2 linked regions of the Oryctolagus cuniculus genome follow. The main gene of each other region encodes a partner of the protein of the gene in region 2 in a complex. Links are inferred from orthologs where the notes say so. Each region holds a gene or a part of one and is shown on either strand. Other genes may lie near its edges. The genes, in order: UBE2G2 and AMFR.

Evidence for each region.
Region 1: the proteins of AMFR (region 2) and UBE2G2 are in contact, whole or in part, in an NMR structure (PDB 2LXP), measured with the Homo sapiens proteins. The link is inferred for Oryctolagus cuniculus from reciprocal best matches to the Homo sapiens genes AMFR and UBE2G2. Residues at the interface, in NP_001135.3 of Homo sapiens: Ser574, Ala575, Arg578, Gln579, Met581, Leu582, Arg585, Lys586, Leu589, Leu590, Ala593, Arg594, Arg596, Phe597, Leu598, Lys600; in NP_003334.2 of Homo sapiens: Tyr13, Leu16, Thr17, Pro20, Gly23, Ile24, Val25, Ala26, Gly27, Pro28, Met29, Asn30, Glu31, Glu38, Leu40, Met42, Glu45, Glu50, Phe51, Val53, Val159, Gln160, Leu163, Gly164, Leu165.

Annotation. Positions count from the first base shown.
Region 1 is NC_091435.1:1,796,769-1,800,487, forward strand, and holds the end of UBE2G2 (ubiquitin-conjugating enzyme E2 G2), read left to right. Parts: intron 1-19; coding exon 20-160; intron 161-1,788; coding exon 1,789-1,901; 3' UTR 1,902-3,033; downstream 3,034-3,719. UniProt on the Homo sapiens protein: Accepts ubiquitin from the E1 complex and catalyzes its covalent attachment to other proteins. In vitro catalyzes 'Lys-48'-linked polyubiquitination. Involved in endoplasmic reticulum-associated degradation (ERAD).
Region 2 is NC_091449.1:40,179,148-40,183,047, forward strand, and holds the start of AMFR (E3 ubiquitin-protein ligase AMFR), read right to left. Parts: upstream 2,520-3,900; 5' UTR 2,309-2,519; coding exon 2,054-2,308; intron 1-2,053. UniProt on the Homo sapiens protein: E3 ubiquitin-protein ligase that mediates the polyubiquitination of lysine and cysteine residues on target proteins, such as CD3D, CYP3A4, CFTR, INSIG1, SOAT2/ACAT2 and APOB for proteasomal degradation.

The sequences.
Region 1 (3,719 bases), on a different chromosome or scaffold from region 2:
CTGTCTGCGGCCCTCGCAGTCTACCCGGACGGGAGGGTCTGCATCTCGATCCTGCACGCGCCAGGGGACGACCCCATGGGCTACGAGAGCAGCGCCGAGAGGTGGAGCCCAGTGCAGAGCGTGGAGAAGATTCTGCTGTCCGTGGTGAGCATGCTGGCAGGTGAGTGCCGGGGCCGGGCCCCGCGGCCGGGCGTGGGAGCGGAGGTGCTGCTGGGGCCGTCGTGCCCCGCAGTCTCTCCTCCCTCGTGTGGCCGTGTCCAGTCCACGCTTCCTCGCTGCCCGTCCTATAGTGCTGTTTGCCTGCACACATTTCAGGGCAGTTGGGTACCGCCATCGTATCATTGACCGTCGTTAGCCAGACGTCCGCATACTCGGGGGGGTTTCTTGGGCCCTACTCTTGGTGCCAGGCACTGTGCTCCGTGTGCAGCTCCGGGTGACAGAAACCCCGACTTTAAAGGGAGCTTTCTGAGGGTAGACCGGAGACCAGGACACACACAGGCTGTCAGGCCAGTTCCTGAGAGGGGGCGGCTGGGCTGAGTCTGGGGCATGTTAGCACAGTAGGAGGGCGGGAGAGGCATTTGGGCCAGAGGAAGCCACCAGGCAGGGGCCCAGGGGCAGGAGGCAGCTGACTCAGTGGGGCACTGCCAGCTCACTGCGCTGAGCCAGGGCTGGGAAGCGGGGCGCGGTGGGAAGTGGGGCGGGCAGTACGCCGCAGGGGCAGTGCTGCAGCTGGTGCCGGGGGTGGCAGTGGAGGAGAGGCAGAGATGTGCTAGGTGGGGTCCAGGGACCCGGGGCGGCAGAAGGCTGCAGTGTGGGCCCCAGGCCACAGGGCACAGTCCGAGGCCTGGCTGACTTCTCTTTCTCCCGTGAAGGCCAGGGCCCGCCCACTGAGGGGCTCATCCAGGACCACTGGGTGAAGGGGACTCTGGGTAGGGCGGCAGGTGATGGCACAGCCCAGAGAGGTCACGTAGAGGGACAGGGGGCGAGGAGGAGCCTCCAGAGGTCGGGGAGACACAGAATTGCCGCCAGGGTGCCGGGGGCCTGAGGCAGCTGTGGTGGGCCGTGCGCCCTCTGCAGGAGCTGTGAGAGAAGTGACCACTGCAGAGCCCCTCAGAACGGAGACCGCGGTGTGGGTGGTGCAGCCACTGGCCCCACGCAGTCCCCTGGGAGGCTGTGTGTGCCTGTGGCTGTGTCGGGGTGTTTGCAGAGCACGATGGAAGATGGCTGGTCGTTGGCCTCTCGACACCCACGACAGTTCTCTCGCGAGGGCAGCTGCTGCCCCACGCCGTGTGCTGCGGTTGGTGGTGCCCAGCCGCTGGTGTGGAGAGCTGCGTCCCTCTCCCGGCCCGCAGGCTCAGTGCCTCCTGCTGGTTTTGGGGACCTCTCTCGCGAGGCCTCTCAGCGTTCTTAAAGGGAACGGAAGCGCTTTGCCGAGTGGCTTGCCTTCTTTTTTTTTTTTTTTTTTTTTAGTTATTATTAAATGACTTCTTATTTAAAAGACAGAATGACAGAAAGGGAGAGACGGCTTCCATCCACTGGTTCTCTCCGCCAGTGCTGCACAGCTAGGCCTGGGCCAGGCCAAGCCAGGAGCTCCATCCGAGTCTCCCAGTGGGTGGCAGGGCCCAAGCACTCGGAGCGCCCTCCGCTGCTCCCAGGTGCGTGAGCGGGAGCCGGGTGAGGCACAGAGCGGCGGGCGTGCGCCCTGGCCCGCCCCGCGCCTGGGTTGCTCGCGTCTGGAGTGGCGGCCCCGCCCCGCCTCGCCCCCGCTGAGTGCTGCTGTCCTTTCAGAGCCCAACGACGAGAGTGGAGCGAACGTGGACGCTTCCAAGATGTGGCGTGACGACCGGGAGCAGTTCTACAAGATCGCCAGGCAGATCGTGCGCAAGTCCCTGGGGCTGTGAGGCCAGGCCTCCGACGCGGAGTGACAGTGACACTGTGCTGGCACCGAAACAGGCCCCTGAGCAGAGCCGCGGTGTCTCACTTTCTCACCTTCCCCTGCCCGGCAGGCCTCTGCCACGGCGGCTTAGCACCTCGACGGCCACGTCACTACCTCTCCCCGAGGCCCCGCAGCTCCGCCGCCTCCCCTCCTGGAGCTCCGGGGTCGCGCTGGCCAGCCTTCCGGGACAGGGACACCGGCCATGCCCTGCCCGCCACGGGCCGGGCCGCTCCCCGAGCCCCCGGGCATCGGTCACCTTCCCGCTGCATCCCCCTCACGTCTGGGTACAGCGTGTGCACGTGATCACGGAGCGTCACACGTAGAAATGCCTTCTGAAGGCCTGTGGCCTGCGGGTCCCGGCGGCTGTGGAGGCCTCAGCGCCCCAGCACCCCGGCAGGGGCGGGGACACGGGAAGGCTGCATCGACAGCGTCCTGGCCCTCCGGGCGCCCCCTCCCTTCAGCAGAGAAGCAGACCCTCGCCCCAGCGGTCGTAGCTCGGAGCACAGAGCTGTGCCTTACCCCCGCCCTGGCCAGCGCGCGTGGAGCAGGCACACGAGCCTGGGCCCGGCAGAGCCCGCGCCGCTCACGGCCGGACGTGATGGCTGCGGGGCCTGGTGCCGGGAGGCGGCGTTACAAGCAATAACACATCTGTCACGTGCAGAGTCCACACAGGTTACATTTAAATAGGAACCTATTTTTGACGTAAGGGACGGTCTGTGAGACACAGTCGGCTTTTCCTCACGCTGCCCTCCATCCGCCCTGCCCTCCCTGACGCCGTGCGCGGAGCCGCTCCCTGACGCCGTGCGTGGCGGCCGTGGAAACCAGCTCCTGCCTTTCCTCCACGGGAGGGGTCGTGTAAAATCCGAGATGGGAGCGCATTGTATGTGCGCCTCCCGGCGGGGACGCGGTAACAGGAGCGGGCCGCGGGCCGGCATGGGGGGGCGGCACACAGGCCCGCAGGCTGCCTAGGCGGGAGAGAGACAGTCTACAAAAAGTATTTTTATTCATTTGTATTTATTAAGTGCCCCCAGCCCCTGCCTCTGTTCTGTGTGGAATTTAATTACTGTGTTGCAAATAAAGTTACCCATTTCCCCCGATCTGCAACTCCCTCTTTGTTGTGTTTTTCGTGTGCTGGGAAGCCTAAGCCCAGAGGCCCCGGCGGCGGCAGGGCCTCTCCCGGCCTGGAGCAGTGCTGGGCCGTGTTCTCCCTCCCTCCCTCCCTCCGGGACTGGATGTGACCTCGGATGCAGAGGGCGGGGAGCCCTGCTGGTGGCAGCGCAGCCCAGGGCGGGGGAGAAGCGCCCGTTCAGCCGGAAACCTGAAGTGGGAATCCAGGAAACCTGAAGTGAGAATCCAGGAAACCTGAAGTGAGAATCCAGGAAACCTGAAGTGGGAATCCAGGAAACCTGAAGTGGGAATCCAGGAAACCTGAAGTGGGAATCCAGGAAACCTGAAGTAGAATCCAGGAAACCTGAAGTGGGAATCCAGGAAACCTGAAGTGAGAATCCAGGAAACCTGAAGTGAGAATCCAGGAAACCTGAAGTGGGAATCCAGGAAACCTGAAGTGAGAATCCAGGAAACCTGAAGTGGGAATCCAGGAAACCTGAAGTGAGAATCCAGGAAACCTGAAGTGAGAATCCAGGAAACCTGAAGTGGGAATCCAGGAAACCTGAAGTGAGAATCCAGGAAACCTGAAGTGGGAATCCAGGAAACCTGAAGTGAGAATCCAGGAAACCTGAAGTGGGAATCCAGGAAACCTGAAGTAGAATCCGGCGTTTGGTGT
Region 2 (3,900 bases):
GAGGTTGCAATATTCTAAATAAGAGCTAGCAGGATTTGCTAACTGGCAGAAGGATCAGGTTTTGTTTTGTCTTCCTTGGCCTTGGCTGTGTTTTAGAAAAATTTCATCTGAATGCCTATGAGCAGGGCCCAGGAGCATCCTTGCTGACAAAAGCCGCCCACGTTTCCTCAATACTGGTATCTGTTGGGTAACAATGGGGAAGGCTTCTGAGACCCTACCTTCCACTCAGCTGCACAGGGACAGGCAATGAGCGATGGAGAGCACTCCTAGTGCACACGTGAAGGGTTGAGAAGGCAAGGAGGCACACAAGGACACAGGAAAATCCCACAGGAAAGATGGGAGAAAATCAGAATGAGGATCCACTGAGAACTGGAAATACTACCCAGAGGGAGGAAAAAGTGGCAAATCTGCATAAATTAATACCTCTAGGAAAAATAATTTCCACAGAAAAAGCAAAAGGCTTTCTGTAATGTTTTATGAAGAGATATTAACCTTGAAAGTTGAACCCTGGTATGGTAAGAAGAAACTTCTGGGGGGAAAAGTCATTAAACAATACTTGCAGTTGTTTAAATACAATGGTGGTTCCTTCTCAAAGGCTTACTTATATCGTAGAATGAAAAAATATATCAAAGACTACATCATAATCTTAACAGCTGGCAAAAGCACTCTTCACATCGCTTAGCTGTTTACCTGCTAACTCAAATGCAAAACCAGGCTCGAAATTAAGAGATGTGAGTTCTCTTCTCCCTCTATGGTCGGTATGACTGAGCTTCACCCAGAACTTCACCCTTCACTGCCTTCTATTAAACTCTGCTTAATTCACAGCCCCCAGAGTTCACAAATCCCACTGCTTCCTGATGAAGCACAGTGGGAATAATTAGAACCAATGAGTTGCATATCACTCTACAAACTTGGAATATTAATCTCTCCCTCGTTTCCAGCCTACTCTTTCCCCCAAATGAGAGATCTGCAGAGGCAAACAAGACTCAAGACACCATACTAAATCCAAGCGACAGACTAAATCCTGGAGCAACTTTCCTCCTTACTGTGGGGTTTACAAGAAGAGGTATTCAAGACCAAGGCGAAAGCAAAATTCTTTAGCCAAAACAACAGAACTGTTGCTCTAGCAGTCTGAAGTCATCGTTCTCGTAACCGAAACCAGCATGGACACCTTGAAATGCTGCTTATCTTGCAGGGGCAGACGAACTGGAAACCTTGCTTTAAAATGGAGCCCCCAAAAAGAGAACTTCTGAGTGAGAATGAGCGGCGTGCCTCTTCACTCTGAATGTTTGCTGCCTTCGGACATCAAAGGAAACCGTCACGAATCGTCAGGTACGAGCAGCAGGACAGGAAGCACCGTTTGTCTGAGGTTTGTTACATCAAACAGCGCCCAAAGAGGACAAGCAAAACACTAAAGGCACAAAAAGTTTTGAGGAGCGCCTCTCTCCCGACGGGAATGCACAAACACGCCCTGCGCTCGGCGTCCCCCTTCCCCGTCCCTGCCCTCCCGCTCGAGCACCGCCACGCGAGGAGGGAACGGCGCTTCAACTTCCCCGCACCGCCCAGCACGCGGGCGGGGAGCCGCGCGCCCGGCTCCGGCTCCCCTTGAACCTGCCCTTCTAGGCCTCCGGGTACCCCTCAGGGCCCCTCAGAAACCCCGACCCTACCAGTCGGCGTTTCCTTCCACCCCTTCCGGACGCCGGCACCTCAGCCCTCGGCCCCCCGTCCTCCTCCCCGGGCCAGCCATGCTTCTCAGCACCGCCCCTCCGCCTCCCCAGCCCCCTTCCTCGAACCCCCAAACTCGGCCTTGCCCCGGGGAGCCCATCACCTCCACACCCGCGGGCCAACCCTCAAACCTCACCCTTCTCCTTCCAGGGAGCCCCCCGCCGCCCGGCCCCGCCCCCCACCCACCCCCCGGGCCCGCACACGGCGGCGCGGGAGTCAGGGGACCCCTAAGCGCCGTCACGCCCCCCACGAATAATGGGTGACATGGCGGCCCCCACCCCCACCCCCAGGCCGCTCCTGCCCCGCGGGCCCGGGCAGCGTCGCTTACCCACACGAAGAGGCTGTCCGAAAGCAGGTACTGGGCCACGTCGCGGGCCCGGGGTCCCTCGGGGCCAGGCCCCGCGGGCGCGGGCGCCTTGGGCTGCAGCGAGGCCGTTAGCGGCTCCTGCTCGCCGGGCCCGGCCTCGGGCTGGCTGAGGGCGCGGTAGGCGCTGACGATGGTGCCGAGCAGGGCCAGGCCGCTGAGGCCCGTGTAGGTGCGGAGGCTGGGCCAGGGGAAGCGCTCGAGGAAGAGCAGCGGCATGGCGGCAGCGGCGGCCTCCGGACCCCAGGCCTCCCCGCGCTGTGGCCAGGCGCCTGTGGCAGCCTCACAAACGGCGCCCACGGGCTCTGGCGTCGCTGCTGCCGCTGCCACCGCCGGGCCGGGCCGGGCCGCTCCTGGCTGCTGGCGCCGCTCCGCCCAGCGCCGCTCCCGCTGCTGCCCCTGCCGGCGCGGAAGAGCCTCGGCGGGCTCGGGGCGGGCCGCCGCCCCCAGCGGGACGCGGGCGGGCCGGGCGCGGGGGCGCGGCCTTCGTCCCCCCACCCCCTGCCTCCAGCGCTCGCGCCGCCGCCTCGTGGGGGTAGGCCCGGGCTTCAGGCCCTGGGGACTGGCTCCCCGCGTCCTGCACCGACAGCCCCGCTGGGCCGGGCCGGCAGACGCAGAGGGAATCTGCTCCAGCCGGAGCCCCGGCAAGGCTCAGGCCCGCCGCTAGTGGCGTGCAGTCCTGGCCAGGCCACAGTGCCCGCGGACCGGCCACTTGCCCTGTAGTTAGCCCTGAGCACCACTGTGGGCCTAGCAGTTTAACTGGTGTCCAAATAGGGAGGTGGTGTTTGGGGTGTAAAAGATCCCCCCAAAAGAAGGAATGTTAAACAGTCTTAAGTGTTTACTAGTAGACTCTAGAAACAACCTGATTCGGCAGGAAATAAAAATGTGCAAGTGAGAATACTGACATGGTGCAACTACTTTGGAAAAAAAGTCTCCTCGCTTCCTCAAAGTTAAAAATCAGAGTGGCCATTTGACCTAGCAATTCCGAGAAATGAAAACCTTGTATCCATACAAAACTCATACAAATAACAGCACCATACTCCCGGTAACCCAAATGTGGGAACCCGGAATCTCCATCAAACAATGAATGGATAAATGTGAGAAATCAACACAGTGGAATATTATTCAAAGATGAAAATGAAAATTGATATAGGCTACAATATGCACAAATCTTGAAAGCATTCGAAATCAGAGCAGTGACACTGAAGTCCAAATACTGTGATTCCATTGATAGCAATGTCCAGAATAGGAAAATGCATAGACACAAAAGTAGGCTAATAGTTGCTTCCTGATAGGAGGCTGATAGCCAAAGGGTAATGATTTCTTTTTGAAGGGGTGTAATGTTTTAAAATTATGATGGCAAGCCAACTCTGAATAGACTAAAAATCAGTATACACCTTGAACAGTGAATTACATCTTAATATGTGACTTATATGTCTTTATAGCTGCTTACTACCCCTCCAAATGTATAAAGGAAAAAACTACCTTAAGTAGTGCCCAGCCCAGAGTGGATGCTGTTAAATATCTGTCAAATCTAAGGAACTCTCTAGAGGACTGAATTATGCTTTATGGTCTTTTTCTTGCATGTATTCTAAAAGTCTGTTCATTAGGAAAAACATTCTCAAGGTTCCCACCCACTTTGGAATTTTTCAAACACCTTGTTCCAGGTCTCCATGAAACAAGTCTGGCTCTACAGGGGTGCAAGGAGTTTACACCTTTGCTGGCGAAGCTTTTTCACACATAGCCTGGACTCAGTTTGGCTTTCCATCCACAGACATTTCACTAACATGCTAAACTTTACTGGCAAAATA